Linked DNA regions of Macaca mulatta. The protein of the gene in region 1 interacts with the protein of each later gene in a pairwise test. Links are inferred from orthologs where the notes say so. Each region holds a gene or a part of one and is shown on either strand. Other genes may lie near its edges.

Evidence for each region.
Region 2: the proteins of CEP63 (region 1) and ARFIP2 interact in binary tests that used the Homo sapiens proteins (3 or more experiments, as listed by UniProt). The link is inferred for Macaca mulatta from reciprocal best matches to the Homo sapiens genes CEP63 and ARFIP2.

The regions. Positions count from the first base shown.
Region 1 is NC_133407.1:37,602,705-37,605,347, reverse strand, and holds part of CEP63 (centrosomal protein of 63 kDa), read right to left. Parts: intron 1,520-2,643; coding exon 1,361-1,519; 3' UTR 1-1,360. UniProt on the Homo sapiens protein: Required for normal spindle assembly.
Region 2 is NC_133419.1:59,303,587-59,307,596, reverse strand, and holds the start of ARFIP2 (arfaptin-2), read right to left. Parts: upstream 2,814-4,010; 5' UTR 2,704-2,813; intron 1,932-2,703; exon of another isoform or gene 1,892-1,931; 5' UTR 1,890-1,891; coding exon 1,791-1,889; intron 1,540-1,790; coding exon 1,443-1,539; intron 734-1,442; coding exon 615-733; intron 435-614; coding exon 213-434; intron 1-212. Other genes in the region: TIMM10B (mitochondrial import inner membrane translocase subunit Tim10 B), read left to right, coding at 2,991-3,026, 3,228-3,323, 3,515-3,691. UniProt on the Homo sapiens protein: Plays a role in constitutive metalloproteinase (MMP) secretion from the trans Golgi network. May have important functions during vesicle biogenesis at certain cargo subdomains, which could be predominantly utilized by secreted MMPs, such as MMP7 and MMP2.

The DNA.
Region 1 (2,643 bases):
GCTGAGGGAGAAAACCCATGACAGAGCTCCAGGGGGCCCTCTGACTTACAGGTTAGAAGAGGAAAAGCCATGAGATGGAGTGGAGGATGAGGTAGAGATGAAACCAGAAGTTCCAGGTCTTAGAAGCCAAGAGAGAGTCCAGCTGTGCTGAATGATGCTCAGACGGTGATTAGGTCACTGGTGAACTCAAGAGCAAGAAAGCAGTCTGGGGATGGAAATGGTGGTGGAGAGGGTTAGGAAGAGAACTACGGTGGGGCGAGGTGAGAAACTGGAAAGAGTCACTGCAGACACCTCTTTTCAGAAGTGTTTGGGTGAAGGGAAGCAAATAAACATACAGAGCAGTACATAGAGAGGTATAAAAAAATGAGTTTTTTTTTAAAAAGGGGAAATAACAGGATGTTTTATGCTAATGGGAAAGATCCACTAGAGAAAGAGGATTCACAGGGGCCATACCCTTAAGGTGGCAAGTACACTACACTGACCTGTCTCATCTGTAACTGCACAATCTAGTTCCTTTGCTAGATCTATTTCCTGTGATTCTCAGATGCTGGCATCTTTCAGGGCCCCAAACCCAGCCTCCTGCTCCCCTCTCTCTCCACAGCCTCCCTGGTGGATCTTATCAACTCCCATGATTTCAAATGCTTCTGGCATATCAACATCCAGATCTTTATCTCCCATCTAAACTTGTCCTCAGCAGTGCAGACGCTGAACATTTATTTCCAATGGATATTCCATGGGCACCACGCACGAAAGCCAGTCCCTTGCCCTCCCTGCCTCTCTCCTCTGCATAAGTGCTGAGCAAGAGAGGACTGCTTGCTAAGGTTCTTTAGCCTACCCCGCTTATTCACTGCCAGCCTGACTTTACACACCACCAGCCCCTTGGCTAAGAGGGGCTACCAGCCTAGTAAATAACCAGCCCAGTTGGATGGCAAAACCAGTCTATCAATCCAGGTAAGTTTGACCCCTAAATCCATGCTTCTACACATTTCCCTTAAAGAAAGTTCCTGCAGTTACTTTATTTTCAACATGTATCATAAAATCCTTCTTTCAATTAGTACACAGCTATTCACATTTAAGTCAGCAAGATAAGTATCACTTTATGATAATACATATTCATATGAGAAAAAAGTCTAGCAAAGTGGTTTATTCTCACAACTTATCACTGGAGGAAGTCCTTCAAACAAACTAGTGCAGAGAAAATGCCTATCAAAAGTATTGGTTTTTCAGCTTTCTTCACCACTGCTTTAGATGTATCATTTTTATAATTTTATCTCTTCATGTTTTTAAAGAGCTGCTACTTCAGATGACAGTAACTCTTTGGTGTTTATTTTTATTTCCAAGATTGTGATTTTTTAAGAGGCTACTTTAAGGCTGTGAATTGTCTCACTGTCTTTTCACTCTCTCTTTTTAGTTCTTCAATATGGGCATCCAAGCGCTCTAGAATGTGATGAGACCTCAGTTCCTCCTCTTCCAAAAATCTAGTAGCTATTGAACCAAGGGGAGAAACAGGCAAGGAACACTGGAAGAGAGACAAATTTTGACATGTGTAAATAAGTAGAATATTATATTTCTAAGACACACTGTTCATGACATTTTCTAACTAGCAATATTAAAAGCTGATTGTTTTCCTTTGAAGAGACTTTTTTGGTTTTCATCCTAATAAGAGCAATAAAAGAACAAAACTCAGTAAATTCTGTAAAAATTAACACAGATCTGTCCCTTTCTGACCCAAGTTGTAATCATGTAAAGTATCATATATTAGTTATTGGTCTGAAGAACGTTTCAGTTTAGACTTATATATCCTTCCATAGTTAATGCCTATTATTTCAAACTCACTTTAAAAACCTGAGTATGTCACTTTCATTTTAAAGCACAGACAATTTAACAAAAATAAATTAGATGCCAGCTAAAATCAATATTTTTTCTCCTCCAAATTTTCAGTCCACAGTCCCTTATCTGAAACCCTTGAGGCTAGCGATGTTTCAGAATTCTGATTTTTAGAAAGGTAGTACAGAACATATGCCATATGCAGTCAATACTCATTCACAACAGCAGTCGTATTCTATAAAGTCACCCAGAACACTGAATTAGCAAACACAGAATTTTTGGCCCAGGGAAATATACACATACAACAAATACACACACACACATACACACACCCCACACAGAGAGTACAATCCTAAATCCTAGAACAACTCATTCTGGTGGATTCTGTATTTTTTATTTCACATGAGAGACATGAGGATCAGAAGTGGTAACTCTCCTGAGGCCGCCCCACTAACTGGTGCCGAGGCTGGAATTCAGACTCTACTCATTCCTCTGTCTGGCATGGAGCTGAGCTTCTTCCCTACACTGCGCTGTCCCATCCATCTCCACCCTCTGGTGGAGATGCCTACTTCAACCTTGGCTTAGATTGTGCAAGTCGGCACTCAAATTTTTGGCCACTCTGTATATGTCCACGAATGACTGTGGAAGTGCTCTGCGCATACTGATTTGGGAGTTATAAAGCTGAGGGAGTAGACAAATTCACAGATACAGAATCTGTGAATAATGAGGATCAACTGTATTACCCCAGTGGAGTCTGAGGGAACATCCCATAACCAAACACATTGATATTTCTGAAGCAAAACACATGGATATTCA
Region 2 (4,010 bases), on another chromosome or scaffold:
ACCTAGTGTGCCCCCTCCCCCACCCCCTCCAACTTCTGGACCTCTGTACAAACCCTTAGGCTGCCTCCACAGGTGAGTGCTGCTGGGGGTAGGGCTGGGCCCACCCTGAAGGGGTTCTCCCTGTGGGCTGCAGGAGGGAGGGAGGATGACGAATGACTGCCTGGGAGGGCCCATGCCCAGTTCCCCCACCCTCTTTGGTCTGGGTGAGGCACCTGAAGCTCTGGGGACTTCTGGCTGAGGTCAGCAAAGGCATCACCTAGTGCATGCTGGGTCTGCAGCAGGCTGTAGAGGTGGGCTGTCAGTGCCCGGCCCAGCTGCAGGACACTCTCATACTTGCGCTTCGTCTCACGCAGCAACTCAATCTGCAGCTCTAGCTCCAGGTCCACAGTCCGTGAGCCTCGACCAAATCGTTCTGATAACAGTTGCTTTGTGCACTGATTGGGAAACGGGGCAATAGATCAGAGACCCTAATAGCCTCCCGACACAACAGGTATCTACCCCAACGCCACCCAGGCTCCTACTCTCAGCCACAGATGGGATATTACGATCATGAGGAAAGGGGAAAAAGGTACCCATAACGAGTTTTGGGGAAGTGAGAGGTGCTCAAATCCTACCTTATAGGTGTTGATGCCCCATTTCTTGACGATGTCAAACTTTTCTCCAGCAATGCCCCGAGCCACCTCATCTCCAGGGCCAGCAGGAGTGGTGCTGTGAGATGGATGGCGGCCAGACCCTAAAGGATCAAGTTCTCTGACACCAGCCTCTCTCAGATACACCAGACACCTCTGTGGCCCCACCCATGCTTCTCTCCCAGCACATGAAATTGACTTCCCTGAAGGAGATGCTAGAGACAACTGGATTCTCCTGTTTACTAGGAGGAACTCGGACCTTGCACAGTGATAACCAAATCCTGATATACATATGGCCTCCTTGGAGGCCAGAGGAGGGGTTTGCAGGGAGTTGTTGGTGTATAGGGGCAGAGGAAACAGAAGAAAATACACTGAGTTTGGGGGCAGCAGGAGTCAAGGATGGTGGGTCATGATAACAAGAAACCTGGTTGCATTCCCATGTGGAATCTTAGTGTGAGATTCAGGGCTGTTTGTTCCTCTAAACTTTAGAATCTAAAAATTCTGAAAAGCCTCACAAAGTTCCAACTCAGCCTCAAGCTGTAGAGCGGGGGCATTCCTGTGAAGTAGGTCTTAACTTGACTCAGGTGGTGGCAGGGAAAGGACGAATGAGCCATTTCAGGGGCCAAGTGGCAAAAGGGAAATGGATGGACAATGCTGGGAGTTGCTTTTGGGCTGAGGAGAGTCCATGGGATTCCTACAAGCAGAAGTTCCTAAGATCTCCAGACATTATTCAAGCTTTCCTAGACATATCCTATGCTTCCCCAAACCATTCCTGTCCCCTCCTCCACCCAAGCTTCCTGTTTCTGTTCATACCTGTGGGGATGAGTCCATCACCAGAGCCCCCATAGCCACCAGACACAATGCTGGTTTCATTGAGGTTGGGTCCTGACACCATCACTTGCTGGAGGTCCTATAGGCCAGAGAAGAGGGGTTGCTTCAGGAACATAGGGACTGCAGAAGCATTTTGGAGGTGGGAACAAGTTTGGATTCAAGCATCATAAAGACACTACACAAGGGAAGTCTGCACAGAATCAAAATGATATGTAAAATTAAGGGAGTCAGATAAGTTCAGGGGAAGGCTACTGGAATGGAGGGTGAGAACCCAGGATTTATAAATTGGATTCCTAAATTGAAACAATTAGAAGAATCAAACAGAAGCACCTGCTCCAGCCCATCATCTTCAGGAAGCTGCCTGGCTTCACCGTTCCCGTGGATAGGGATCTCCATTGTGGCTGCCTTCCCTAGGATCCCGTCCGTCATGGCTAGGAAAGGTATTGGAGTAAAACTCTCCACCCCAGCACCCTGCAAAGCCCAACACAGAAGTTCTGGGCACTGGCCAGCACTCTAGAAGAAGGAAGCCTCCTCTGTCATTTCTTTAAAGGCTGTCCCAGGGTTTGAGTGTCCCAGCGTTTGGTCATCATTCCTTTCTTCAGGTATATGTATTTCTCCCCTCCAAAATGCACATTTGTACACAGGCACACCAAAGCACGGTGTCTTCTCACAAGCCCCCAACCTCACCAGGCCTCTGGTGATTATTCTACACTCATTCAGTCATTCAGCAGACATTTAGTGAGTGCCTACTCTGTGTCAGGTACTATTTGTGACAATGAAAATACAACAGTGAAGAGGGAAAGTAGCTCTCTTAGAACTTATCTCCATGCAGGCGTGTTTATGCTGAGCAGGAGATGGACCCTTTCCAGGGCTCAGGTCTTCACCCCCCATTCAGGTTTGTTCTCCATTGCTTGGCCTTTCTCACTCCTTTAGTGTTTCTTCCCCCTTCCTTCAGGGGGTCTCCCCTCCTACGTCTCATACAACTCCTCTTCCTTGGGCCCTCCCCACCAGGCCTTAGTTAGATCAGTTGGTGTATGTTCCCAGTCTCTGGCAAAAGCCTGTCTTTACCAGGATATCGGTGATCCCTTCCACAGTCAGTCTCCCAGGTATGTGAGTCCCCGCCCCCACCCCCATACACCTGGACATCAGGTGTGTCCTCATTCTTCCCCAGGGCTCGGGGCATCTTGCCCTCTGGACAGGTTTGTGCGTTCAACTTCCCGTCGCCCAAGCATGTCCCTCTCACCTCGGGCCGGGCCGCTCTTCCCCTCAGGGCGCCAGGCCCGGGCCGCGCGGGGACCTCGGGCTCCAGTTCCCGTCGCGATCCTAGCAGCAGGTCAGGGACTCGGCGGAAGTGACGTCCTCTCCGGGCAGAAGAAGCCGGCCACGTCGCAGATTATAAGGGCGGAAGTGACGTCGAAGCCGGGGCAGGGCGATACTCTAGCTTGGTTCTCGAGAGCAGCGAGAGGTTACTTCCGGGGCGGCACCGAGAAGCTGAAAAGGAAGTGGCGTAGAGCATGCGCCGGTGGCGTGATGGAGCAGCAGCAGCAGCAACAGCAACTGAGAAACGTGAGTGAGAACTAAGTCGTTTCGGGGCCAGACGTTCAGCTCGCATTCCTGCACACATCGCGGAAACCCCATAGAGCCAGGGATCTGAGGGCTGGAAACTTCGGGTTATGGTGCGCGGGCCTGGGAAACTTTGGGCTGCGCGACCTTGAGTAGAAGTGTGGGGCACATATCGCTGAGTTCGTGGTCCCGGTTTTCTCCCAGCTGCGTGACTTCCTGTTGGTCTACAATCGGATGACAGAACTCTGCTTCCAGCGTTGTGTGCCCAGCTTGCACCACCGAGCTCTGGACGCTGAGGAGGTGGGGAACTGTGTAAGGAGGTTACGCTGCAAACAGAGTTTAGCGGTAGACTGCTTCCCTCCTCACCCCACTTCCCCTACCTCTGGTCCTGGCCTTCCCAGACCCTCACCCCTAGGCTGTGCATGGGGAAGGAAGGAGGCGGGCCCGACAGGACACCTTTGTCCTCCGCTTAAACCCTATCTTCCTTCTAGGAGGCCTGTCTGCACAGCTGTGCTGGGAAGCTGATCCATTCCAACCACCGCCTCATGGCCGCTTACGTGCAGCTCATGCCTGCCCTGGTACAGCGCCGCATCGCAGACTACGAGGCTGTCTCGGCTGTGCCAGGCGTTGCTGCTGAGCAGCCTGGGGTCTCTCCATCAGGCAGCTAGCCATCTCCAACCCCAGGAGGGAAGGCCCTGGATGGACCCTCAGATTGAAGGACCCAGTGGACCTTAGGGTTGGTGAATCCTAAACGGAGAGAATTCGAGGTCGCCTGAAAACTGGCTGTCCTTGCTCCTTTTCCTGGAGCCAATATACTCGCTTTTTACTCTGTTTGATTTATATTCTGGGCAAGGAAGCTTTGCATACTTTATTGGCATAATCCTTTGTTCTGTCATTTAGCCATATCTGCTGGCTTCAGCCCTGGCAGCTGATAAGTTGTCTTCTATATGTAGAAGGAAAACCTGAGTATTTGCAGGCATCTGGTTA